Linked DNA regions of Anolis sagrei. The protein of the gene in region 4 interacts with the protein of the main gene of each other region in a pairwise test. Links are inferred from orthologs where the notes say so. Each region holds a gene or a part of one and is shown on either strand. Other genes may lie near its edges. The genes, in order: ARHGEF3, TNFAIP3, COX5B and TRIM23.

Region 1 (6,923 bases), about 210 Mb from region 4:
GCTCCGTGATATGATATAATTCAAATACTACTTTGTGCACTGATATCGTGAGTGCTATTTATATTTTAAAGGGGATCAAATAAAACAGGACAAGAATGTAGAATATGTTACATTAAATGACACTAACTACTCCGCTGAGGAAATTACTTCTTTGTTCATATTAAATAGACATATCATGGTGTGCTACAAATTGAAGAAATGTTAAGAGGCAATATTCTAACTGGAACATGCCTGCTATGAAATGTATATCGGATTTGTGAGTTTAATTTGAGTTTATTTTAATAAAGCCATAAACAAATTATAGTGCCATAAACAAATTATAGTGCCAGACTTTCTCTGGACTTTCTCTGGAAAGCCTGGTTGCAGTAGAACAGGTGTATAGCCAATGAATGCGGTTAAACTCCTGGTCGCTGGTATTTTATAAAGGAAAAATGTTTTTAAGATGCTTTTAGGTTGGTAAATTATATGTTGAAGACATGTGGTACTTGATTTTGGGAAGGTGATGGACTAGATGTTTTCATCGACAGTCAGCCTTCCATATTCATGGGTTTGATGTATTGTTGAAGGATTTCATGGCTGGAATCACTGGGATGCTGTGAGTTTTCCAGGCTGTATGGCCATGTTCCAGAAGCATGCCTTCCTGACATTTTGCCCACATTGATGGCAGGCATACTCAAAAGTTAAAGGGCCTGTTGGAAACTAGGCAAGTGAGGTTTATATATCTGTGGAATGTCCAGGGGAGGTGAAAGAGCTCTTGTCTGCTTGAGGCAAGTGTTAATGTTGCAGTTGGCCACCTTGATTGGCACTGAATTACAACTGTACCTTCGGTTCGCTTCTGATACGATACATATTAACATTGAATTAGCATTCATGGATTTGGTTAATATATTATCTCTAGGAATTTATGTCCTAGAGAACGCTTCTCTATGCATTTAGAAGACCTCCAGCAATGGCCCCTGCCTATAGTTTCACTGGAGGACCTAGATACTCTTATTAGGGCGTTTTCTCACAACCATATAACCAGAATATCAAGACAGAATAACCCACAATATCTACTTTGAACTGAGTTATCCGAGTCTACACTGCCATACAGTATTTCAAAGTTCAAGGCAGATAATGTGGGATTTTATTCAGCTGTGTGGAAGGGGTCTTAGAGAACTACTTGCTGTGGTGAAAAGAAATTGTTGTTGTTGTTGTTCATTCGTTCAGTCGTCTCCGACTCTTCGTGACCTCATGGACCAGCCTACGCCAGAGCTCCCTGTCGGCCGTTACCACCCCCAGCTCCCTCAAGGTCAGTCCAGTCACTTCAAGGATGCCATCCATCCATCTTGCCCTTGGTCGGCCCCTCTTCCTTTAAAAATTGTTTGTTTTCTTCTTTTGTTGGGGTCCTAATCCCAGTAAATCTGGAGGGGTAAGCTGTAGTAAGGCAGATTCTTGGGGAATCTATGGAATTTGTTTCCAGGTCACCTGTTTAAAATCAGTGTGGCTACTTTCCCATTAAAATCTATTTTAAGATCATGGGTTGAAATGATGCTACTCTCTAGAAGTGTCAGGCTGCACCTTCCATTAGTCCTAACCAGCATAGCGGATAATGGAAAATGCTGGGAGTTGTAATGCAATATCTGAGAAGTTGGATGGCTCCCAAACCCTTAACATTAAGCAATTAGATCAATTTTCTGGGGACTCAACACTCCCCCCCCCCCCCCCCCCCAGTGTTATGTTGCTGTGTTCTAGATCTGACACTAATGGAGAGCCAAAGTGGAATCAAGTTTCAATACTTCTACAGTGGAGATCAGGCATGGGCAAACTTTGGCCCTCCAAGTGTTCCTGAATTGTGGGAGTTGAAGTCCCAAACACCTGGAGTGCCAAAGTTTGCCTGTGCCTATGTAGATACACCTTTAGATTGAATGCAACTCTCTGTGTGAAGAGCTGGAGCCTCAGATTTGCCACTTGCTTTAAAAAGAAAGAAAGTACAATGTGTTGTCGAAGGCTTTCATCGCTGGTTTGCTGTGAGTTTTCCGAGCTGTATGGCCATGTTCCAGACGTATTTTCTCCTGACGTCCACATCTAAGGCAGGCACCCTCAGAGGTTGCGAGATCTGTTGGAAACTAGGCAAGCGAGGAGCTGAACTGTTGACCTTGCTAACCAAAAGTTCACAAGTTTGAATATGGGGAGCGGCGTGCGCTACCCCTGTTAGCCCCAGCTTCTGCCAACCTAGCAGTTTGAAAACATGCAGATTTGAGTAGATCAATAGGTACCGATCCAGCGGGAAGGTAACAACGCTCCATGCTGTCATGTGGTCCACATGACCTTGGACAACGCCAGCTCTTCGGCTTAGAAATGGAGATGAGCACCAACCCGCAGAGTCAGACACGACTGGGCTTAATGTCAGGGGAAAACCTTTATCTTTACCTATGCAAGTGAAGTTTATATATCTGAGGAATGTCCAGGGTGGGAGAAAGAACTTTTGTCTGTTGAAGGTAAGTGTGAATGTTGCAATTGGCCAGCTTGATTATCACTGAATGGTCTTGCAGCTTCAATGCCTGACTACTTCCTGCTTGGGGGAACCCTTTGTTGGGAGGTGTTAGCTGGCCCTGATTGATTCTTATCTGGAATTCTCCTGTTTTCAGAGTATTGTTTTTTTATTTACTGTCCTGATTTTAGAGGGTTTTTAAAATATCGGTAGCCAGATTATGTTCATTTTCATTGTTTCCTCTTTTCTCTTGAAATTGTCCACATGCTTGTGGATTTCCATTGCATCTCCTTGTAGTTTGACGTGGTGGTTGCCATTCCACAGATCAATAAACCTCACTAGCCGAGTTTCCTTTTCCGACAGACCTCACAACCTCGGAGGATGCCTGCCAGAGATATGGGCGAAACGTCACGAGAGAATGCTTCTGGAACGTGGCCATACAGCCCGGAAAACTCACAGCAACCCAAAGAAGGTACAGTTGCATAGATCCCCTCAGCTCCAGGGCATGGTGGGAAATGCCCTGGCCTTGCATGGGGCGGCGCAATACAAAGGCGGCGTGGTCCAGCCCCCTTCCCCTTCTCTCTCCTGATGGGCCTCAACCAGGGAAGCCCCTCTTTGGGGAAGGCGGGAGGCAGGACTTCCGGGATGGCGGAGACCCCGGCGCCTCCTCCTCTTTCCCAGAAACCAAACACTGACACGTAGTAGCTGTTCCGAGTAGCACAGATTTCCCCACAAGGGCATCTTTCTCTCTCTCAGGCCAAGAAAAGCGCAACAAGTGCGCTCAGGCGCCAAAAAAAACCCAAAACAAAACACACAAACAAAATACCCAAACTGTTGGGTGCCAAACGCCCTTGTTAACGTCAGGAGAAAATGCTTCTGGAACATGGCCATACAACCCTCACAACCTCTGAGGATGCCTGCCATAGATGCAGGCGAAACGTCAGGAGAGAATGCTTCTTGGACATGGTCATACAGCCCTCACAACCTCTGAGGATGCCTGCCATAGATGCAGGCGAAATGTCAGGAGAGAATGCTTCTGGGACATAGCCATACAGCCCTCACAACCTCTGAGGATGCCTGTAATAGATGCAGGCGAAATGTCAGGAGAGACTGCTAGAACATGGCCATACAGCCCTCACAACCTCTGAGGATGCCTGTAATAGATACAGACGAAATACCAGGTGAGAATGCTTCTGTAAGATGGCCATACAGCCCAAAAAACCTACAACACCCCAGTGATTCCGTCCATGAAAGCCTTCGACAATACACAGCCCGAAAAACTGACAGCAACCCATCCCTTGGAGCCGTATTCAGGGCGCATGATCCAGTGTGTTAGCCTTGCCCTGCTGAAGGGTGCTGCTGGTGCCTCCGCCAAGCTCTACCTCCCTGAGATATTGAGATAGTATTGAGCCAGGGCGGTGAAAGTGGCGTCCAGGGGCGTTCGTGCCTCCACGGGAGTGGGGTGTTCCCTCTCCTCGCCGCGGGTGTCTCAGCTGGAAAGGCTCCCACGGGCGGCCGTTTTCCCCGAGGCGGCCGCCCAGAGTTTTTCAAACAGGAGAGAAGCGGAGCCAAGGGGAGGAGCCTTGCTCCGGAGCAGAAGAGGCAGAAGCAGCAGCAGCGGCAGCATTGGACGGGGAGGTGCCGCGCTTGAGCCCCACTTGCCCTCCTCTTTCCCTCCCGACCGGGCTCCGTCTCTCCTTCCAGGGCTGGAGGGAAAGGGGCCCCGCGGCTCCCCACAGCGCCCACCCTCCCGCAGCTCCCATGCAGGGCGAGGAGGAGGAGGAGGAGGAGGAGGAAGCAGCACGACGCCGCAGGTAAGGCAGCCTTCGCCAGCTGAAGCCCTCCCCCTTGGCAACAGCAGCACCCGCCGCCTCAGGCGCATTACTTGGGCACCGCTTTGGTGGCTCATGTGCCGGGGAAGCAGTTTGTAAACTCTGCCGCCTTCCCTTCCAAAAAAGGCTGGTGCCTCACCAAACTACAACTCCCAGGATTCCATTGCATGGAGCCTTGGCACTTCAAAGTAGTGTCAAATTGCATCCACTCTGCAGTGTAGATGCGCCCTTCGCTTTAGGACCGGGAAAGGACCAAACCATGGCTTCTTTGAGGTGGAATAATAATAATACTGTGTCACAAAAATTGGAAAATGGTCTGTTCCTGGTCTGAAAGTGTTATTTCCTGTTTAATTGTGCAGTACTTACTTTAGAAGAAGTTGTTATACTCCAGAAAGTTCGTTTTTGTGGCTGCCACAAATTATCTTGAATTGGATGACAGTGGTTCTCAACCTTCCTAATGCCGGGACCCCTTTATACAGTTCCTCATGTTGTGGTGACCCCCCAGCAGCAAAAATAATAACTCTGATTTTTGCTGCTGTTATGAATTGTCATGTAAATATCTGAAATGCAGGGTGTATTTTCATTCACTGGACCAAATTTGGCACAAATACCCGATATTCCAAATTTGATTACTAGTGGGGTTGGAGAGGGTTGAATTTTGTCATTTGGGAGTTGTAGTTGCTGGGATTTATAGTTCCACTACAATCATAGAGCATTCTGAACTCCACCCACAATGGAATCAAACCAAACTTGGCACATAGAATTCCCATGGCCAACAGGAAATACTAGGAGGGTTTGGTGGGCATTGACCTTGAGTTTTCGAGTTGTAGTGCACATCCAGAGAGCACTGTGGACTCAAATAATGATGGACCTGGACCAAACATGGCACGAATACTCAGTATGCTCAAATGTGAACACTGGTGGAGTTTGGGGGGAAATATATCATGACATTTGGGAGTTGTAGTTGTTGGGATTTATAGTTCACCTACCATCAAAGAGCATTCTGAACCCCACCAATGAGAGAATTGGGCCAAACTTCCCACACAGAACCCCATGACCAACAGAAAATACTATGTTTTCTGATAGTCTTTGGCGACCCCTCTGACACTCCCTTGTGACCCCCCAGGGGTCCTGACCCCCCCCCCCCGATTGAGAAACACTTCTTTATTTATTATTTATTTACGTATTTATTTCCTGCATTTCTATGCCGCCTTTCTCAGCCTGTAGGTGACTCAAGGCAGCTTACACTGGCACAATTCGATGCCACGACAATCATAAAACAAAATTAAAAATATTTAAACGCACATTATAAAAACCATATAAAAAGCATTAAAAACATATAAACACCAGTAACTTCTTATTAACTCATTTTTCCAAAGACATTGTCAAGCTTTAGGAGGTAGGTGATGGTGGATTCAACCCTGGCTTCCTTGAGGTTGAGTAATAATAATAATACTATGTAGCAAAATTTGGAAAAGTTTCTGTTCCTGGTTTGCAAGTGTTATTTCCTGTTTAATTGTGCAGTACTTATTTTGGAAGTAGTTGTTACACTCCAGAAACTTTGTTTTTGTGGCTGCCACAAACTATGTTGAATTGCTTGAGACTGGATGAGATATTCATTGAAAAACTATAGCAAAATGTGCTGCAGGATTTCCTGCCAAAACAAAAGTTTTTGCAGTTTAATAAACTTCTTCCATGTATTTATGATAGAACCAATTAGGAAATCATAGAATCATTGAGTTGGAAGAGACCTCATGGGCCATCCAGTCCAACCACCTGCCAAGAAGCAGGAAAATCACATTCAAAGCACCCCTGATAGATGGCCATCCAGCCTCTGCTTAAAAGCCTCCAAAGAAAGAGCCTCGTCCACCAAATGCCATTCATAACCCAGGAACAAAAATCAAGTTACATAGTGTAATAATAGCTTATTAAAAATGCTACCAGGACACTTAATTGTCTAGAGGAGGCATCATGGGGTACATCTACAGTGTAGGATTAATGCAGTTTGACACCACTTTAACAGGCATGGCTCAATGCTATGGAATCATGGAAGTTGTAGTTTTACCAGGCCTTTAGGCTACTCTGCCAAAGAGTGCCCCCAAACTAGAGCTCCTGTGATCCCATAGCATAGTCAAATAGCCCTCAAACTGCATTCGTTCTATAGATACACTCATGGTGTTCCCAGAAGGAAGCCATTGGGGAAAAATAGGAATACAGAGTAAATCAATTCCATCTGCAGATCACTTGGAAACTTGCCTTCCTTTTTTTCCTTCTGTGGTTTTCCCTAACATTTGTCCCCAGAAGGAAACTCCCTGTCACTGTTCAGCTGAGAACGTTTCCCACTTTCCCCTGCTGGTTGATTTCTGTGAAAGAGTGGGGGGGGGGGCGGGGGGGGGGGGAAGTGTTTTGGATGCAAAGGATGCCCCTCACAGGAAGGATGTAAGAGCCCTGATTTCCAAATGGGAGATGCTCATTGAAAGAAGCATCCAAGACACCCACACTGTGAATGGCCAACTGATGTAAATTACTGTCTCAGAGTAAACTCCATTAGTTGCCAATTGCTGGCATGGTTTCATGAACCACAACTACAGTTGTAACCAGTGAACACAATTATGGTA
Region 2 (7,274 bases), on a different chromosome or scaffold from region 4:
GTTCAGCTGCCTAATTCACCATAGCACTACTCACAGCTGTCTTCTGTTCTGTCTCAGTAGTTTGTTGAGTGCCTTCCAACCATATCCTATCAATTTCTGACATTATTTCTTGTTTAATTTTGCATTATTTCATCACTGGGTTTTCATAGTAACTTTAGAAGCAGTTTACCATGCCTCTTTCTGCATAGTACTATCAAGTGTTATCTATGGTGATTTCACTCCTATCTCGACCACTACAGTTTAACAATAATGTCTCACCTCTCATCAGTTGATAACTGACTTCATTTTTCATAGCCTGAAATATTTAAAATTGACAGAAATCTCAATTGTGCATTTCTGTAGCTACTGCATAGTTTGCATTCACACTATATACTTTTAAAACATGGGCATAACATTCAAGCATTAATTTAATGGAATATCCTTAACAAAGTTAATACAGTCCATAATATCCCAAGAGCAAAGATTTGCTGTGGGTGCAATATCTTGTCCCACCATAATATAATTACTTATTTAGCCCCTTATCTTGACCCTTCATTTTTTCTTTGTTAACGTTTTAACTATATGTTATCCAAATGTATCTCTCTTTATGAGCCAGGTAGAGCATTAAGATCGGTCCCGCAGCCCTCGCAGGTGCGACTGGTGGGGACGAGAGACAGGGCCTTCTCAGTAGTGGCCTTTCGGCTGTGGAACTCTCTCCCCCATGAGATTAGATTGGTCCCTCCCTCCTGATGTTAAGGAAACTACTCAAACAAGTTTTTCAAACAAGCATTCAGAGAATGAGATGATGTAGTCCAAGATATCTTGGGACTGGTGTAATGTTGAATGTCTTATGTTTTATGTTTGTTTACATCCAAAGTTTTATAGATTACTGATTTTAATCTATTGTTATTTGTTTTTAATAGTGTAATACATTTTATATTGTGAGGTTTTGAATTTTGCCATTTGCTTTGTTGTGAACCACTTTGAGTCCCCCTACAGATTGAGAAAAGTGGTATATAAATGAAACAAACAAATAAAATAAAATAAAATAAAATAAAATAAATAAATAAATACGATTGTGAGAGGGATTCCATCACAGGCATTAAATAAAATGCTGCATTGTGTACACGGCAAGTCCTAGCAGTATATTATACATTAAATATTTAAGAGCTAAGTTGTGTAACACAAACTTGACATCAAAAAATCACATTATTCTCCTTAAAACAAATAAAGCAAAATTATTTGGTGTACCTATGTACGGCGCTCCATGCAGTCATGCCAGCCACATGACCTTGGAGGTGTCTACGGACAACGCTGGCTCTTCGGCTTAGAAATGGAGATGAGCACCACACCCCAGAGTCAGACATGACTGGACTTAATGTCAGGGGACTACCTTTATCTTTACCTTTTATGCTTATTTTACATTTTCCTTCTGCTAGTAAGCCACAGGAATAGTCTTTACATTTATGTTTTATAGTATTGGTGGTTTAATCTTTGTTATATATATATATATGCTTTGTATAGTCCTTAGTTTTATTTGTGTATTTTAATTATGTTGTACAGCACCCCACCACGATCTGTAACAAATAACATTTGTTGTTGCCAAATAATTTTCCATTGCAATTCAGGATTCCTTTCCCACTTGACTAATAGCAACAATATGAAGAAAGAAAGAAAAATCTGATAATGATGTTTCTTGCATCACAGCTCTCTGATCATTTCCCATCAGATGCTTACATAAATTGGGAAGTACTATTTTGTTCTCCTTTTGGGACCCATGGCATTCTTGAAAAATAAGGACTCTGCCAATCCATTTCCTTCTGTGTTCTTTCTGGATCACATATATGACTGTTAGGAATTGTAGGAGTTAAAGTCCAAAACACCTGGCGGGCTGAAGTTTGCACATGTTTTATTTACACAATAGAATGACTACAGCTTGACACGACCTTAACTGCCCTGGCTCAATGCTATGGAATGATGGGAACTGTATTATACAAGGCCTTCAGCCTTCTCGGCCAAAGAGTAGTGGTGCTTCACCAAACTCCCTATTTTATTATTTTATTATTTTATTGTTTATACCCCATGTTTTTTCTCTATATGGAGACTCAAAGCGATCCATAATCCAAAACATTACAACTTAAAATATACAATAAAACAGCATATCATTATATATTATCAGTAGTCATTATATTTAACATATTCGTATATTTAATATATTAGTATTACTATATTACAATATTATTCTATACTATTATATTGTATTATTGGTATTATATTGTATTCCTTTATATTATTATCAATATTATAGGACTATACAATATATTATATTATTAGCATAGCACAATAGTAGTATTATACATTACTATATTGTACTATACCACTATACTGCAATATTATTAGTAATATTACATGTAATATATAATATACTTGTATTATATTATTATATATTATTATATTGTACTATATTACTATACCACTATATCTAATATTCTACCAGTTTATACTACTACTATACCACTATATCTAATATTATACCAGTATATAATACTATTGGTATTATATAATATATTGCACTATATCACAAGTTGTAGTATATATATTACAACATTATTAATATTATATATTTTAGTATTATTACATTACAATGTTATTATTTCTATATAGTATAGTATTGTATTGTATTGTATTGTATATATTGAGGGGGCTCCCAACTTCAAGCAGTCTTAAGCTGCATTCCTTCTACACTGTAGATCAGTGTTTCTCAACTTGGGGGTCGGGACTCCGGGGGGGGGGGGGGGGCGTCAAACACCATCAGAAAACACAGTATTTTCTTTTGGGTTCTGTGTGGGAAGTTTGACCCAATTCTATCATTGGTGGGGTTCAGAATGTTCTTTGATTGTAGGTGAACTAAATTCCAGTAACAACATCTCCCAAATATCAAGGTGGCACAGTGAGTTAAGCCGCTGAGCTGCTGAACTTGCTGATCGAAAGGTTGCAAGTTCTAATCCGGGCAGTGATGTGAGCTCCCGCTGCTAGCCCCAGCTTCTGCCAACCTAGCAATTTGAAAACATGCAAATGTGAGATCAATAGGTACTGCTCCAGCAGGAAGGTAATAATGCTCCATGTAGTCATCCTGGCTACATGACCTTGGAGGCGCCTACGGATAATGCTGGCTCTTTGGCTTAGAAATGAGCATCAACCTCTGGAGTTGGACACGACTGGACTTCGTATCAGGGAAAACCTTTGCCTATTTTCCCCAAACTCCAACAGTGTTTACATTTGGGCATATTGAGTATTTATGCCAAATCTGGTCCAGATGTATCATGGATTGAGTCCACAGTGCTCTACCTGGATGTAGGTGAATTACAATTCTAAAACTCAAGGTCAATGCCCACCAAACCCTTCCAGTATTTTCTGCTGCTCAAGGGAGTTCTGTGTGTCAAGTTTGGTTCAGTTCCATCGTTGGTGGAGTTCAGAATGCTCTCTGATTGCAGGTGAACTATAAATCCCAGTAACTACAACTCCCAAATATCAAGGTCTATTTTCCCCAAACTCCAACAGTGTTCACATTTGGGCATATCGCGCATTTGTGCCAAACTTGGTCCAGTGAATGAAAATACACCCTGCATATCAGATACTGACATTACGATCCAAAACAGTAGCAATATTACGATTATGAAGTAGCAACAAAAATAATGTTATGGTTGGGGGGTCACCACAACATGAGGAAGTGTATGAAGGGGTTAGGAAGATAATAGGAAGGTCGAGAACCAGTGCTGTAGATGCACTTGAAAAAAAACTCGGGCAAGAGCCACAGCTGAAGCAGGGAAGAATCACGGTGGGGATACCCCAGGGGAGAAACCCAGGCTGCCAAGCCAAGGAGGAGCGATGATGACGTCAGTGATGTTGATGATGATGATGATGATGCGAGGCAGTCGGAGTCACGTGCCGGCGGCAGCGGCGGAGGCTTCCGCGGGCCTGGCTTCTCGCACAGCAGCGCCACCTAGAGGCCGGCCACAGCGCCAGCAGCAGCAGCAGCAGCAGCGCCGGCAAAGGCCACCGCGAGTGTCACATGCCTCCCGCCGGAAAGTCCCTCGCTTGCCTCTCCGTGGCTCTGGAAATCCCCAGCCCTTTTTTTCCTGCACTGGGGTGAGGGAGGGGGCCCGCCTGGCTCACAGTCCGGCTTCTAGAGGAACAGGAGAGAGGCAGGGCAACCACACGGGAACCTACCTTCCTTCCTTCCTTCCCACCCGAGAAAGCGGATTAAGCCATGGCAGCCTAGCGCCGGAGAGGGTTTGCATCCAGAAGGATTGAGGAGGAGGAGGAGGAGGAGGAGGATTTCTCCAGCCCTCTCCAAGCTGACAACGAGTAAGTACTTCGCCTGGTTCTCTCTCTCTCTCTCAGTCCCTCTCCTTTCTTTCATCCCTCTCTCCCGCTCTTCCTTCCTTCCTTTCCTTCCTTCCTTCCTTTCTTCTTTCCTTTCTTTTTTCCTTCCTTCCTTTCCTTCCTTTCTTTTCTATCTTTCTTTCCTTCCTTCATTTCTTTACTTCCTTCCTTTCCTTCCTTCCTTCCTTCCTTCCTTTCCTTCCTTTCTTTCTTTCCTTTCTTTCTTCCCTTCCTCCCATCCTTCCTTCCTTTCCTTCCTTCTTTCCATCCTTCCTTCTGCTGCTCTTTGGACTTTGGGATTGTTTGGGGGTCCAGTAAGGACTCGCTTCGGGATGGATGGTGGTAAACAAGAAAAGGGTGCATCTTATTCTCCTGTAGATACTGTAGAATGAATGCAGTTTGATACCGCTTCAACTTCCCTGGCTATGGAATGCTGGGAGTTGTCGTTTGGTAAGGCATCAGCCTTCTTTGGCAGAGATCCTGTCAGACTCCCAATTCGGTAGCACTGAGCCATGGCACTTAAAGTAGTGTCAAACTGCTTAAATTCTACAGCGTAGAACAGGGGTCCTCAAACTTTTTAAAACAGAGGGCCAGGTCACAGTCCCTCAAACTGTTGGTGGGCAGGATTTCAATTTGGAAAAAAAAAAGAATGAATTCCAATGCACATTGCACATACCTTATTTGTAGTGCAAAAACACTTTAAAAGAATACAATAATTGTTACGAATAACAATTTAGACAAATATCAACCTATTAGTATTTCAATGGGAAGTGTGGGCCTGCTTTTGGCTGATGAGATAGGATTGTTGTTGTTGTTGTTGTTGTTGTTGTTGTTGTTGTTGTGTGCTTTCAAATTATTGTTGTGTGACTCTGAGTGAGGGCCGGGTAAATGACCTTGGAGGGCCATATCCGCCCCGGGCCTTAGTTTGGGGACCCCTGGTGTAGAAGATGGACTCAGAGGAGAGGAAAGTGCACCCAGTTGTGTTTCTGCTATCACCAGGAAAGTTAAAACAAAGGCTGATTGAGGGCCCTTCCACACAGTACTATAACCCAGAATATTAAGGCAGTAAATCCACACTCATCACAGAGAATGAATCCACTTTAAATCTGGTTTCTGCCTCCTGCAGAATTCTGGGGTTTGCAGTTTAGTGAGGCTGTTTAAGTCTCCTCCCTAAACTACAAACCCCAGAATTCTGCAGGACACAGACACCAGATTTAAAGTAGATTCATTCTCTTGTTTGATGAAGTTAAGTGTTGAACTGCCAGTGTGGAAGGGCCCTTAGCCCCCCTTCTTCAAAATACTACTCCAAAATCTGAAATAGCCCACCTGAATGTTTGAGAGAGTCACACCTCTGCTTTCTGATGGTTCACTTTGCCAAACTTTGTTTCATGCAACATATTTTAAAAATACTTTTGTGCATCAGGTTATTATAAGGTATGATTAAGACATACGATTTCCTGTTTATACTTGGATGCCAGCTCCAAGGTTACCTATGTATTTGGAAATATAGAAATTCCAAAATCTGAAAGCATGCCTTTCCTCTTCTTTATTTGTACCAATCCATGCAAGTTTTCTAATCACTTGAAGCCCCTAATCAGGAATAAAGGAAATGTGGCTGATTATTTATTTATTTACGGTGTTTGTATACCACCCTTCCCAAGCCTGAAGAGCACTCAGAGCAGTTCACAGGGCAATTATCCCCAACCCAAGATTTGGCCATGGATATTATGATGTGTTGTCCAAGGCTTTCATGGCTGGAATCACTGTGTTGTGCTTCTTCCAGGCTGTATAACCTTGTTCCAGAAGCATTCTCTCCTAACATTTCACCCTTATCTGTGGCAGGCATCCTCAGAGGTTGTGAGACGTCTGAGGATGTCTGCCATAGATGCGGGTGAAACATCAGGAGAGAGTGCTTCTGGAGCATGGACATATAGCCTGGAAAACTCATAGCAACTCAGAAATGATGGCTCCACAGGATTATTTTTAAAGAAAGGAGGATTGTTTTTTAACCAATGTTAAAAGAAGTGGAAGGTGACCAGAGAGAAGAAGCAAAAAGGAAAATACTAGTTGTCTTTGCTTCCCATCATGTGCTGAGAAACAATTATTTATTACCCTTAAGAGTTTGGTTGTTGTTCATTCGTTCAGTCGTCTCCGACTCTTCGTGACCTCATGGACCAGCCCACGCCAGAGCTCCCTGTCGGCCGTCACCACCCCCAGCTCCTTCAAAGTCAGTTGTAAGAGTTTGGTACAAAATAGTAAATAAATTCTGGGATTGTAGGCTGGGAACAACAAAAACCTAGTAACAAGCAGGTAATACTTGTTTGTGGCATTGAGTTACATAACAACATGACAGCTCATACATAAGTATTTATCCCATTTTAAAAAACAAGGATTTGCATGAGATGCATGGACGTTGTGCTGTGTCATATGTGATACTGACATTTTAAAGATCCAATGGTTCTTTTAATTTTAATTATTATTCGCTTTCTCATAGTTTCATAATTATCAATATTGTGGTAACATGAACAAGTGATCTTAAACAGACTTACAAGGCAGTAAATCCATTAAATTCAGTGTGACTTTTGGGTAAACAGGCATAAAATGATATTGTCAGGTATTAGGTTGCTTAAAGCAGTCGCTAATTTCTCAGACTCCAATTGGTTATTTTTTTAATCCTCAAGATTTATTTTCACAATTTTTCCACCTTTGCTTAAGAGATGTGACATTGTAATCCATGTTATACTTCAGGATCTGCACCAGTGAGTTTAGTAGTAGGGCTAGTACTAGACACTAGACTTTTTCTAGTAAAGCACCAGCTCCACCTCCTTAGGTTAAGGCACCTATTATCCAAAACCAGTCTTGTAGTTTTAGCACCTGGAGCAAAACAAACCCTACAAGTATCTATTTCT
Region 3 (7,222 bases), on a different chromosome or scaffold from region 4:
ATGATCATGCTTTCTAACCCCTAATCTAAGTCAGTGGTTCTCAACCTGTGGATCCCCAGGTGGTAAACTGGCTGGGATTTCTGGGAGTTGTAGGCCAAAACACTTGGGGACCCACAGATTGAGAACCACTGATCTAAGCCATTAATAAAGATGTTGAACAAAACCAGGTCCATGATGGAAACCTGCGATACGCCACTCGTCATTTCTTTCCAGAATGAAGAAGAAGCGCTGGGAAGAATCACCCACTGGGTTCATTCACTTAACCAATTACAGATCCACCTAGCCATAGTTTTGGCTAGCCCACATGTATTTATTTCATGTATTTATACTCCGTCCTTTTCACCCCCGAGGGGTGGACTCAGGGTGGTTTACAATAGGCCACCACTAGATGCCGGACATTAAATTAAGAAATTAATTAAAAAACAATTAAAACAATTATAAACATCCAAGATTTAAAATTCTAAAATATCTTGAGTTTAAAATCGTGATCCAAGATCAGTCCATTACCAGTCTCATCAGTCACATTCGAATCACTATATGTATTGCTCAAAGGCTTAAGAATTTTTTTTGGAATGCAAGGAGGGCCTATCTATATAAATAAAAATGTAATGTTCGTTTGTGGGATTAACATAACTCAAAAATTGATCTTGTCATTTGGGAGTTGTAGTCGCTGGGTGTTATACGTACTTTATTTACAATCAAAGAGCATTCTGAACTCCACCAATGATGGAATTGAACCAAATGTGGCACACAGAACTCCCATGACCAACAGAAAACACTAGAAGGGTTTGGTGGGCATTGACCTTGAGTTTGGGAGTTGTAGTTCACCTACATCCAGAGAGCACTGTGGACTCATACAATGATGGATATGGACCAAACTTGGCGCAAATATTCCATATGCCCAAATATGAACACAGATGGAGTTTGAGGAAAATAGACCTTGACATTTGGGAGTTGTAGTTACTGGGATTTATAGTTCACGTACAATCAAAGCGCACGCTGAACCCTACCAACGACAGAATTGGGGCAAACTTCCCACACAGAACCCTCATACTTAAGGCCATCCAGTCCAACTCCCTTCATCAGGACAAGAAAACATAATCAAAGCCCTTCTGACAAAGAGGCATCCAGCCATAGGTATAGATAGATATATATGATTCACATAGAGAGAGATATAGTACCATAGATTTGAAAAGGACCCCTAAAAAGGACAATGATATGTTGCATGTTCCAGAGCAGGCAAACCAGACAATCTCCAAATCAACACTGACAAAGAAACAGCAAGAAATACTGTTTACCCACAAGCATAAAGAAATTACATATATTAGAAACCAACACTTTCTAATTACTTTATTTTCCAGATCAACAGCCTGGGCCACAGCAACGCGTGGCAGGGGACAGCTAGTATCTATATAATTAAAAATGTAATGTTCATTTGTGGGATTAACATAACTCAAAAATCACTGGACCAACTGACACCAAATTTGGGCACAGTACACGTATCAGGCTAACAAGTGACCATCACTTGTAAAATCACTGAAAAAAACCTCAGTGTACAATAAAAGCTTGTATATCAACTGTACCTCGGGAAGCCATGGAGCCCCTGGTGGTGAAATGGGTTAAACACCTGTGCTGGCAGGATTGAAGACCGACAGGTCGCAGGTTCAAATCCGGGGAGAGGCGGATGAGCTCCCTCTATCAGCTCCAGCTCCTCATGTAGGGACATGAGAGAAGCCTCCCACAAGGATGATAAAAACATCAAATCATCCGGGCGTCCCCTGGGCAACGTCCTTGCAGACGGCCAATTCTCTCACACCAGAAGCGACTTGCAGTTTCTCAAGTCACTCCTGACACAACAAAACAAACAAACAAAAAAAACCCTCGTGAAGCCATACTTGGCCACGGTGGTCCAGGCCTTAGTTACATCTCGAATTGATTACTGCAATGCACTCTATGTGGGGCTGCCTAAGAGCAGTACGTGTGAAAAAGACCACTGGGGGCTCCGTTTATATTGGACAACAAGTTAAACATGAGCCAACAATGTGATGTGGCGGCAAAAAAAGCCAATGGGATTTTGGCCTGCATCAATAGGAGCATAGTATCTAGATCTAGGGAAGTAATGCTCCCCCTCTATTCCGCCTTGGTTAGACCACACCTGGAATATTGTGTCCAATTCTGGGCACCACAATTGAAGAGAGATATTGACAAGCTGGAATGTGTCCAGAGGAGGGCGACTAAAATGATCAAGGGTCTGGAGAACAAGCCCTATGAGGAGCGGCTTAAGGAGCTGGGCATGTGTAGCCTGAAGAAGAGAAGGCTGAGAGGAGACATGATAGCCATGTATAAATATGTGAGAGGAAGCCACAGGGAGGAGGGAGCAAGCTTGTTTTCTGCTTCCTTAGAGACTAGGACGCAAAACAATGGCTTCAAACTACAAGAATGGAGATTCCATCTGAACATGAGGAAGAACTTCCTGACTGTGAGAGCCGTTCAGCAGTGGAACTCTCTGCCCCGGAGTGTGGTGGAGGCTCCTTCTTTGGAAGCTTCTAAACAGAGGCTGGATGGCCATCTGTCAGGGGTGATTTGAATGCAATATTTCTGCTTCTTGGCAGAATGAGATTGGACTGGATGGCCCATGAGGTTTCTTCCAACTCTTTGATTCTAAGACGGTTCAGAAGCTTCAAATAGTGCAAAGGAGGGAAAAGGAAGGGGCCTGAGCTGTTAGGGATTGCGGGGGTTGAAGCTCAAAATACCTGGAGGGAAGGCCCAAGTTGGCCAAAGTCTGTGTGAAAATGCCCTAACCCAGCCTCACCTCCGGCTCCCATGCAGCGAGAGGCTCCGGCCAGGCGCAGCGGCCCTAGAGGGAGGGCATTCCGGCCCGCGGCGAGCCCTTGGAAAAGGCCGCAGACCCTGAGTAACCTTGACGCCATGGGGAACGCGAGGAGCTATAATAGGCCTTGTCCACAGGCCTGTTTCCGCTTTCCGGGGGAGGGACTTCCTCCCACGCAGGCGCCGTTTTAACCAACCGTTGTCCAACAGCAACCCCTCCGACGCGCCGCTCAATGGGCGTGGCCGTAACCGCCGAAGCTGCACACCCATTGGACACGTTGCCTCGTGGGCGTGGCCTGGGAGTGAAGTTTCCTTTCTTTCCAGTCAGTAGGGAGGCGCCATTTTGGAGTGGAGTGGAGAGGAAGGGAAGGAATTTACCTGGTTGGAAGGAGAGAGATATTGACAAGCTGGAATGTGTCCAGAAGAGGGCAACTAAAATGATCAAGGGTCTGGAGAACAAGCTAGGCCTGGGCTATGTTTTGTCACTCTTCTTATAGGATTCTTATAGGCTGAGGGGAAAAGGAACTTCATGTATGGCTTCCCTGGAATGAGAATATAAACTTCAGGCAACTCTGGCCCTTTTAGAGCTCCTAGAATATCATAATAATAATAATCATGATAATAATAATAATTTATTTATCAGCAACTAGACCATTGGATTACATTCCTAACAGAACAAAACAAACACAAAACAAAAACCACAGATTTTGCAAGCTTGGTAGTTGATTAAATGTCCTTTGACCAGTATCTGGCCACTTGGAGTGCCTCTGGTGTTGCCGCAAGAAGGTCCTCCATTGTGCATGTGGCAGGGCTCAGGTTGCATTGCAGCAGGTGGTCTGTAGTTTGCTCTTCTCCACACTCGCATGTCGTGGATTCCACTTTGTAGCCCCATTTCTTAAGGTTGGCTCTGCATCTCGTGGTGCCAGAGCGCAGTCTGTTCAGCGCCTTCCAAGTTGCCCAGTCTTCTGTGTGCTCAGGAGGGAGTCTCTCATCTGGTATCAACCACGGATTGAAGTGATGGGTTGGAGCCTGCCCATTTTGGACTCTCGCTTGCTGAGGTGTTCCAGCGAGTGTCTCTGTAGATCTAAGAAAACTATTTCTTGATTTAAGTCGTTGACGTGCTGGCTGATACCCAAACAGGGGATGAGCTGGAGATGTCACTACCTTGGTCCTTTCACTATTGGCTGCTACTTCCCGGCGGATGTCAGGTGGTGCAATACCGGCTAAGCAATGTAATTTCTCCAGAGGTGTAGGGCGCAGACACCCTGTGATAATGTGGCATGTCTCATTAAGAGCCACATCCACTGTTTTAGCGTGGTGAGATGTGTTCCACATTGGGCATGCATACTCAGCAGCAGAGTAGCATAGCGCAAGGGCAGATGTCTTCACTGTGTCTGGTTGTGATCCCCAGGTTGTGCCAGTCAGCTTTCATATGATGTTTCTAGCGCCCACTTTTTGCTTGATGTTCAGGCAGTGCTTCTTGTAGGTCAGAGCACGGTCCAAAGTGACTCCCAGATATTTGGGTGTGTTGTAATGCTCCAGTGGGATTCCTTCCCAGGTGATCTTCAGAGCTCGGGATGCTTGTCTGTTCTTAAGGTGAAAGGGGCATGTCTGTGTTTTAGATGGATTAGGGATCAGTTGGTTTTCCCTGTAATAGGCAGTAAGAGCACCTAGAGCTTTGGAGAGCTTCTTTTCAACCATCTCAAAGCACCCTGCTTGAGTGGTAATGGCACGATCATCAGCATAGATGAAACTCTGTGTCCCATCTGGCAGTGGCTGGTCATTTGTGTAGATGTTGAACATGGATGGAGCAAGCACGCTCCCCTGAGGCAGGCCGTTCTTCTGTTTCTGTTGTTGACATGCTGGCTGATACCCAAACAGGGGATGGGCTGGAGATGTCACTGCCATTATTATTATTATTATTATTATTATTATAAAAACTTTATACCCCGCCACCATCTCCCCAAGGGACTCAGAGCGGCTTACATGAGGCCAAGCTCAACAACACATCAATAAAAACAAAATGCAATAAACAAAAACAATAAATACAATACAATTAATATTAATCACATATAAACAATAACCAATACACAGTAACACACAAGGATTTAAAAACCAGCTGCTGATCCGGACAAAAAGGAATGTAATAGTTTAAAATGTAATAGTTTAAAAATTAAAAAAATAAACGCTGGGCATGAACAAGGTAGGATATATCTGGTATAGGGTTTTAAAAATAATACTAATAAAAGAGTAAAAGAATAAATAACCTTGACTCGAGTATAAGCCATGGGGAGCTTTTTCAGCCTAAAAAGAGGGCTGAAAAACTAGGCTTATACTTAAGTATATACAATACACACACACACACACACACACATATATATATATATATAAAGAGAGAGAGAGAGTGGTGTAGCATAGATAATATAAATCTATAGTGTTTTTCGGGAGAAAAGTCCTCTTTAGTTCATTATAGAGCTGAGGAAACTTGCAATGAAAGTAAAGCATTTTAAATATACTGTATATTGTTTATAGTGGATGTCTTCTGGGAGCTGGCCATAGAATTGCACTGGAAGACTTAGCCTTGATCTACACTTCCGTATCGTCCAGTTCAAAGCAGATAACCTGGATTCATAAACTGGATTATAGGGCAGTGTAGATGGGGCTTTTCCGATTCATCCAGCATGACCTTACTGTCAACTTTTGCTGGAAGCCAACCATAGATCTGAACTGGAGGATCGAGAGAACATTTTGAAAATCCAGTCCATCAATATTCAAAACTGGAAATGTATTGTATTTGCATAAGGGGGGAATCTTGTTACTGATTGGCTCACCCTGTCGCCAGCTTTAGTGCCCTGCTTCTGATTGGCTGCTTTAGGAATGCATTCTTTTTGTTGATTTTCAAAACAGGTGGGAGTTAGAGAGCCGTTGGAGCAGCCAGGTAAGGACTTCCTCCAAGTTGAAGAAGGGAGACTGCTTTCCTTTTTGTCTGGATGAGCAGCTGATGAGTTTCTGACTCCTCCTTTCTATCTTATTGGTGTCAGTATGCTTCAGTCAACCAGATTTCCCTCAAAAGTGGGCTTCATCAGGCCTAACTCCCACCCAAATTCATTCCTACAAGGGAATCCTGCAATTTATCCTGAATTTTCATCCCCAAGGCCTTCATAGCTCTCTCAACGAATGAGCCAAATGTTAAGATGGCCTCTGTCTGCAAATGCAACAAAGCCCCTCCTCCCAAACCCCCCTCAAGTTCCTGTCATTTTTCACCTGGTGGGTGCTGCAGTGACCCAGGGGGGCGGTAATGGCCACAGGTGCATTTGGGGGCGATGAATAATTGTAAGGGGGCGGTGAAAGCATAAAAGAAAGAAGAAAATATTTCAAAAAATTGATTTCCAGAGGGGTAGGCCAAATAAGTTTGGGAACCACTGATTTACATTTTTCAATAGATATGGTCACCAGGCACAAACTTTTCATTAAGAAGTTCTGCTTTGAAGGGGGCAGAAACAGAAAGAGAAGAAGCCCCGGAAATGGCTCCTCTTGTTTAATGAATGGGAGTGAAATATCTCCTGGTTCACAATTGGGAAAGCAGTACGGCAGGGCTGTATACTCTCACCCGACCTATTCAACCTGTATGCAGAACACATCATGCGACGTGCAGGGCTTGACGAATCCAAGGCTGGAGTTAAAATTTGCTGGATGAAATATTAACAACTTTAGATATGCAGATGATAGTACTTTGATGGCTGAACGCGAGAAGGAGCCAAGGAGCCTTCTAACCAAAGTAAAAGAAGAAACTGCAAAAGCTTGGTTTCAGTTAAATATCAAGAAAACCAATATAATGGCAACCAGAGTGATTGATAACTGGCATATAGAGGGAGAAAATGTGGAGTCAGTGACAGACTGTATTTCTAGGCACGAAGATAACTGCAAGTGCCGTCTGCAGCCAGGAAATCAGGAGACGCTTCCTTCTTGGGAGAAGAGCAATGGCCAAATATCACTCCTGGTGGTGGTGCCCAGCTTATTTGTCTGAATGTATTTCCCTCTTGGTGGTCTGGGCATACCAAATCACATCTCCTGAGGAATCTGTATGAGGACCAAGTAGCAACAGTAAGAACTGACCATGGAACACCAGACTGGTTCAAGATTGGGGAAGGCATACAGCAGGGTTGTATACTCTCACCCAACCTATTCAACTTGTATGCAGAACACATCATGCGATATGCGGGCTTGACAAATGCAAGGCTGGGGTGAAAATTGCTGGAAGAAACATTAACAATCTTAGATATGCAGATGACACCACTTTGATGGCCGAAAGCAAAAAGGAGCCAAAGAGCCTTCTAACCAAAGTGAAAGAAGAAACTGCAAAAGTTCGGTTTCGGTTAAATATCAAGAAAAC
Region 4 (7,251 bases):
AAAACAGTTGGCACCAAACATAAAGAATTGTGTTCATGACAGAGGAAGATACCTAACAGACCCTGTGGGAAAGGTGTGTGTAATTACATTTGTAGAGAGGAGCTATTCTTCCAGCACCAGCTGGTTGTGGAGTTATTAAGAAGGGCTACAAATTGCATTGTACAGATTAAGGGAATCCCTGTTTCAGAGGCAATGACATCCAAGTCTCAAGAGGAGTTTGGCCTTTTTTTCCAAGGCATCACAGTGGAAATAAAAATAAGGATTACTCATTTCAATTTTTTCCTTTTAGTTATTTCCAACATGGTAACCCTAAGGCACAGGTTTGCAGCTTGGGAGTTCTCCTGGACTCATAGCTGAGTTTGGATCCCCAGGTTTCGGGGGTAGCGAGGGGAGCATTTGCATAATTAAAACTTGTGTGCCATTTGTCCTCATACCTTGGGAAGTCAGTCTTGGACACGGTAGTCCACACTCTGGTTACATCCCGTATAGACTACTGCAACGCACTCTACTTGGGGTTGTCTTTGAAGACTGTTCAAAAGCTTCAAATGGTCCAACGGGTGGGAGCCAGATTGCTCACTGGAGCAGCGTACAGGGAGCATACAGCCCCTCTGTTATGTCAGCTCCACTGGCTGCCAGTCTGCTACCGAGCACAATTCAAAGTGCTGGCTTTAGCCTATAAAGCTTGAAATGGTTCCGGCCCAGCTTACCTGTTCGAACGTATCTTCCCCTATAAACCACCTCAGAGATTAAGATCGTCTGGGGAGGCCCTGCTCTCGGTTCCAACCCCTTTGCAGGTGTGACTGCTGGGGATGAGAGACAGGGCCTTCTCAGTGGTGGCCCCTTTGGTGTGGAATTCCCTCACCAGGGATATTAGATCAGCCCCCTCCCTCCATAAGACCTTCCATAAGAGAGTGCAAACGTGGCTCTGTGACCAAACCTTTGGAGAACTTGTGCAATAGAGAGATATGGAATGTTGTGCAATGAGTATTGGAACAGCCCAGATTACGCTTGAGGATTACGTTATTGTGAAGGTATTTCCATAAATGCAGGGTAGAAATGTCACAAATAAGCAAATAAATAAGGCAGTGGTTCTCAGCCTGTGGATCCCGAGGTGTTTTGGCCTACAATTCCCAGAAATTCCAGCCAGTTTACCAGCTGATTTTCGGGACCCACAGGTTGAGGGTCACTGCCCTATGGTGACCCAGGGCCCTTCCACACAGCCATATACATTATAATTTCCTCCTACGAACCTGTGCGATCTCTCCGATCTTGGGGGAGGCCCTCCTCTCTCTCCCGCCTCCATCACAGGCACGGCTTGTGGGGACGATGGAGAAGGCCTTCTCTGTGGTTGCCCCCCAGCTCTAGAACTTGCTCCCCAAGGAGATTAGACAGGCACCCACCCTGACAGTCTTTAGAAAAAGTTTAAAAACCTGGCTTTTCCTGTGTGCTTTTGGGGACTGAACTATCAATTTCCATGCCATGTCCTGTTCCAAGTCCAACTTGACTTTCTGATGCTCTTCATCTTATCTCTAAGTTGAAGATTAATTCTACTGTTATCCCGTTTGAGCCCCCTCACAAATTATAGCACTTTCTACCTACCCCACCTATGAGTTTTATCAATTTCTATCCACTTTTAGTCATGAGCCTCGCTCTCTTTTTCTAATTCTATTACCATTTTATCGTGTGTTTTTATTATGATTTTGTTATTTTCATTTTATTATGTTATTATTAAGTATTTTATTTGATGTTATTGTTTTGTTTATATGCATTTTGCTCTATTGTAATTTCATTTGGGCTTGGCCTCATGTTAGCTGCCTCGAGATGGTGGAGGGGTATAAATAAAGTTGATTATTATTATTATTATTATTATTATTTGAAACACAACAAGATGAGTCCACAGCAGACAAGATCTCTCTGCTGGCTGTTGTATTGGATCACATGTCAGACACTTCTAAATGGTGTATTTTAATATCTGATAAATGTTTTTTAATGTTTATGTATTGTATGTGAATTTGTGTCTCAGTATTGAATGTTTTCTGTGTATATGCTGTGCTTCGCCCTGAGTTCCCTTCGGGGTGAGGGCGGAATATAAATGTTTTACATAAATTGTCGAAGGCCTTCATGGCCAGAATCACTGGGTTGTTGTAGGTTTTTTTTCGTGCTATATGGTCATATTCTAGAGGCATTCTCTCCTGACGTTTCACCTGCATCTATGGAGCCCCCGGTGGCGCAGTGGATTAAAGCACTGTGCCGGCAGGACTGAAGACGACAGGTCACAGGTTCGAATCCAGAGAGAGGCAGATGAGCTCCTTCTATTAGCTCCAGCTCCTCATGCGGGGACATGAGAGAAGCCTCCCACAAGGATGATAAAACATCAAAAATCATCCAGGTGTCCCCTGGGCAACATCCTTGCAGACGGCCAATTCTCTCACAACAGGAGCGGTTGCTCCTGACATGACAAAAACAAAACAAAACACCTGCATCTATGGCAAGCATCCTCAGAGGTAGTGAGGTCTGTTGGAAGTAGGAAAATGGGTTTATATATCTGTGGAATATATTTGTTTTATGTGTGTGTGTGTGTGTGTGTATTTCTATATATATATATATATATATATATATATATATATCCCACCCTAGTCTTTCCACAGATATATAAACCCGTCTAGAACAGGGGTCCACAAACTTTTTAAACAGAGGGCCAGGTCACAGTCCCTCAAACAGTTGGAGGGCCGGATTATAATTTGAAAAAAAAACATGAATGAAAATCCAACAAATGCTACGTTCAGCAAAGGACAAGAGGGATCCTCTCACCTCGGCAGGAGTCTACCGTATACCATGCAGCTGTGGACAAGTCTACATAGGGACCACCAAACGCAGCATTGCCCAGACACGAATCATGGAACATGAAAGGCACTGCAGACTACTTCAACCAGAGAAGTCAGCCATAGCAGAGCACCTGATGAACCAGCCTGGACACAGCATATTATTTGAGAACACAGAAATGCTGGACCACTCCAACAACCACCATGTCAGACTACACAGAGAAGCCATTGAAATCCACAAGCATGTGGACAATTTCAACAGAAAGGAGGAGACCATGAAAATGAACAAAATCTGGCTACCAGTATTAAAAAACTCTAAAATTGCAACAGCAAAACAGCAGAGAGGAAACAACCAGGCACATCTTAACACCTCTCAACAGAACATTTTCCCAGGCTCAGCCAGGCCTTCAAATGCTAATGAAGGTGGTCAGCTGAAACATTCACACCTAGCTCCAGCAGAGAAGAGCTCTTTGCCCCACCCCAGTCATTCCACAGATATATAAACCCATTTTCCTACTTCCAACAGACCTCACTACCTCTGAGGATGCTTGCCATAGATGCAGGCGAAACGTCAGGAGAAATGCCTCTAGAACAGTGGTTCTCAACCTGGGGTCCCCAGATGTTTTTGGCCTTCAACTCCCAGAAATCCCGGCTAGTTTACCAGCTGTTAGGATTTCTGGGAGTTGTAGGCCAAAAACATCTGGGGACCCCAGGTTGAGAACCACTGCTCTAGAACATGGCCATATAGCCCGAAAAAACCTACAAGAACCTCATGAATGAATTCCTATGCACACTGCACATATCTTATTTGTAGTGCAAAAACACTTTAAAACAATACAATAATTAAAATCAAGAACAATTATAATAAACATAAGCTTATTAGTATTTCAATGGGAAGCGTGGGCTTGCTTTTGGCTGATGAGATAGGATTGAAGGCCTCGGGCCTCCACTTCAGAGCCTCCATGAAGTGAAGGGAAAGCGAGCCAGGCTGGACATACCTTTCAAGGCCAGGAGATGCTCCTGCTTGGGCTGGGTGACATCCATGGCCTCAGCCTCGCCACTTCGGGGCCTCCTCCTTTAGACGCACAAAATCCCTCCAGCTTCTGCCGGAAGCACTTCCCCTTTTCTCCCGCCTCCACCACACAACGAAATGAACCCTCTCTGCCTTTGGCCCACTCTCTGTTCGCCCTAGCGTTGGGAACTACATCCCCCAGAATGCCCTTCGGGTAGGCGTGCTGAGCTTCCTCCAAGCTGTCAAGGCAAAGCATGATGGTAGCTGTAGTCTTTCGCGACTGGGAAGGAGCATGAAGCGTGACGTCGAAGGAGACATGCGCAGTGCAATAGGAAACCAAATCTTCGGCGGTTCTCATTGGTGTGACGTCAGCGCGCAGACCCTCCCCGCTGTTTCCAGGGAAACTACGCTGTGGGCGGAGAAAGAGCGGGGAGCGAGCGGAGTGGGCGGATGCTGCTGCTGCTCGGGCTTTCTCCTTCCCTTTCCAAGATGGCGGCGCTGAGTGTAAACAAGGTCGGGGCTGGCGCAGGGATAGATGCCGGGAGCAGGCCGGGACGGAGCCCGGGCGGCCCGGTAGTGAAGGTGAGGAGAGCGGGAGAGGCCCGGGAGGCTTTCCTTCGAGGCTCGCCGCCTTTGGGGGTGGGAAAGGCCATGAAACCCTTCGGCTGTAGAGAAGGCCGCAAATATTTCTGCAGTAGGATGTGATCCTTCTGTGGATCGATTATCTGGTCGACTGTGGGTGCATCTACACTTTCATATTAATGCAGTTTTGACACCACTTTAACTGCCATTGCTCAATGCTGTGGGATCCTGGGTGTTGTAGTTTTGCAAGGCCTTGTCTGTCAAAGAGAGTAGGTGCCTCAACAAACTACAAAGCACAGGATTGCTATAGCATCTTTGAGCCCCTCCAGACAGCCATATAACCCAGAATATCAAGAGAGATGATCCCACAATATCTGCTTTGAACTGGGCTGTCAAGAGTCCGCACTGCCATATAACCCAGTTCAAAGCAGATAATGTGGGGTTTTATAAAGCTGTGTGGAAGGGGCCAGAGTCAGCAGCTAAAATGCGGTCAAACTGCATTAATTCTGCAGTGTAATCTATATAAATAAAAATGTAATGTTCGGGTTGTTGTAGGTTTTTTCAGGCTATATGGCCATGGTCTAGAGGCATTCTCTCCTGACGTTTCGCCTGCATCTGTGGCAAGCATCCTCAGAAGTAGTGAGGTCTGTTGGAACTAGGAAAAAAACAGACCTCACTACCTCTGAGGATGCTTGCCATAGATGCAGGCGAAACGTCAGGAGAGAATGCCTCTAGACCATGGCCATATAGCCTGAAAAAACCCACAACAACAGTGATTCTGGCATTGAAAGCCTTCGACAATACAATGTAATGTTTGTTTGTGGGATTAACATAACTCAAAAACCACTGGACGAATTGACACCAAATTTAGACACAAGACACCTCTCAGGCCAACGAGTGACCATCACTCAGAAAAACACTGGAAAACACAGTAGAAGGGTCTTAAAAGCCACAAACAAAAAATACATTGCAACACGTGCAAAACCACATATATACCGCAAACACACGTATATACACATATACAAATAGATACACACATATGCACATATATACACACACAAAACACATATACACAGACTGGGCCACAGCAACACATGGCAGGGGACGGCTAGTAATAATAATAAACTTTATTTATACCCTGCCACATTATGTTGACTTTTGTATTGGTTGAAATTAAACATAGTCAGTTAATGAAACCTCTGTGAGTGAGGCTCCTGTATAGAAATTATTTTTATTCTGCCTTGAATTTCATGATGGCAGAAAGGCAGAATCTAAATAAAGTAAATGTCCACCCAGGCCCTCTTTTCCTCCATGAATCTGGCATATTTGCAGCAGCACTAGAGGATGGCTGAGGAAACACACTTTAGATACTACGTTACAGCAGTTGATCTACAGTAAAAAAATAAAATCTGTAATAAAACCTGAGCTGAGAAAGAATGGGATTCTGCTTTAGGGTATTCTTTCTCTATTATTTCTACCTCTGGTATCAAACTTTCTGTTAAAGAGGAAATGCCTAGTAACACACCTACTTTGTTAACTGAGGTATGTCTGTACTCCTTTGTAACTTTTAGGTTCTGGAATGTGGAGTCTGTGAAGACGTATTCTCATTACAAGGAGACAAAGTTCCTAGACTGCTTCTGTGTGGCCACACTGTTTGTCATGACTGCCTCACTCGACTTCCTCTCCATGGCAGAGCAGTTCGATGTCCTTTTGATCGGCAGGTTACTGAGCTAGGTAAGATACAGAAATAGTAATAACATTAACATTGAAATAATCATATTGTGGCACCAAAATTCTGAAATTTAGTCAATAAAAGCATAATTATATTTAAGCTTTATTCATATAGCTTTTGTGCGTTGTATTGTTCTAGACAAAGACATATGTAAATTATATTAGAACATTGTAATTGTAATTAAGTTTTTATTTTAGTAGTGCAAGCGTAGCTTTAGAAACAAACCCATATTGGTTGGAAGGTAACTCAAACATTTTGACTGTGCCATTCAAAAATAGTAGCCCTTCTCTGTGCTACAAAAGTTGTGGAAAATTTTACAAATTAGTGAAATGTAACCTTGGAGATTGTCAGAGTTCTATGGCATTGAATTAATTGGCAAATATTCTCAGAATTGGGCTATTTATTTATCATGTCAGGAGCGAACCAAACAGTTGTATTGTATTTAAAAAACACACAGAGAGGATTTGCAAACTCTATTAAATGTCCTTTGACCAGTACCTGGCCACCTGGAGTGCCTCCGGCGCTGCCACAAAAAGGTCCTCCATTGTGCATGCGGCAGGGCTCAGGTCGCACTGTAGTAGGTGGTCTGTGGTTTGCTCCTCTCCACACTTGCATGTTGTGGATTCCACTTTGTAGCCCCATTTCTTAAGGTTGGCTCTGCATCTCAATGTTCAGTGCCTTCCAAGTCACGCAGTTTTCTGTGTGGCAGGGGGAGTCTCTCATTTGCTATCAGCCATTGATTGAGGTTCTGGGTTTGGGCTGGCCTTTGGTAAGTGTGGTTGGATAAGCTTTAAAATTAAACCCAGGATGTAAAAGTTACTGAGTCCAGCAAGGGATTTTTCTCCGTAGTCAGCTTAACTAGACACGAAAGCTTTGTTTCTTTGAGCATGTTCCATAGCTCACTAAGCTATTTCAACTGCATATTTTTAAATAAATTTCTAGCTTTGTAAAGAAAGCACCTATGGTCAAAACATAGCCTGCTGTTCATGATAATGCAATATCACTGGTGGCAGAATTAGATTAGGAGAAATATGATATAAATGAGGTTGTGTTTCTTATGGAAGGGGAGCTTAATCATATTTTCTGTAATGCAGTCTGTGCAT

Evidence for each region.
Region 1: the proteins of TRIM23 (region 4) and ARHGEF3 interact in binary tests that used the Homo sapiens proteins (3 or more experiments, as listed by UniProt). The link is inferred for Anolis sagrei from reciprocal best matches to the Homo sapiens genes TRIM23 and ARHGEF3.
Region 2: the proteins of TRIM23 (region 4) and TNFAIP3 interact in binary tests that used the Homo sapiens proteins (3 or more experiments, as listed by UniProt). The two-hybrid records come from large-scale screens. The link is inferred for Anolis sagrei from reciprocal best matches to the Homo sapiens genes TRIM23 and TNFAIP3.
Region 3: the proteins of TRIM23 (region 4) and COX5B interact in binary tests that used the Homo sapiens proteins (3 or more experiments, as listed by UniProt). The two-hybrid records come from large-scale screens. The link is inferred for Anolis sagrei from reciprocal best matches to the Homo sapiens genes TRIM23 and COX5B.

Annotation. Positions count from the first base shown.
Region 1 is NC_090022.1:58,067,925-58,074,847, forward strand, and holds the start of ARHGEF3 (rho guanine nucleotide exchange factor 3), read left to right. Parts: upstream 1-3,905; 5' UTR 3,906-4,234; coding exon 4,235-4,287; intron 4,288-6,923. UniProt on the Homo sapiens protein: Acts as a guanine nucleotide exchange factor (GEF) for RhoA and RhoB GTPases.
Region 2 is NC_090021.1:79,201,708-79,208,981, reverse strand, and holds the start of TNFAIP3 (tumor necrosis factor alpha-induced protein 3), read left to right. Parts: upstream 1-4,248; 5' UTR 4,249-4,347; intron 4,348-7,274. UniProt on the Homo sapiens protein: Ubiquitin-editing enzyme that contains both ubiquitin ligase and deubiquitinase activities.
Region 3 is NC_090027.1:24,180,301-24,187,522, reverse strand, and holds the start of COX5B (cytochrome c oxidase subunit 5B, mitochondrial), read right to left. Parts: upstream 3,011-7,222; 5' UTR 2,931-3,010; coding exon 2,813-2,930; intron 1-2,812. UniProt on the Homo sapiens protein: Component of the cytochrome c oxidase, the last enzyme in the mitochondrial electron transport chain which drives oxidative phosphorylation.
Region 4 is NC_090022.1:268,041,843-268,049,093, forward strand, and holds the start of TRIM23 (E3 ubiquitin-protein ligase TRIM23), read left to right. Parts: upstream 1-4,241; 5' UTR 4,242-4,284; coding exon 4,285-4,416; intron 4,417-5,987; coding exon 5,988-6,150; intron 6,151-7,251. Other genes in the region: TRAPPC13 (trafficking protein particle complex subunit 13), read right to left, coding at 3,821-3,866.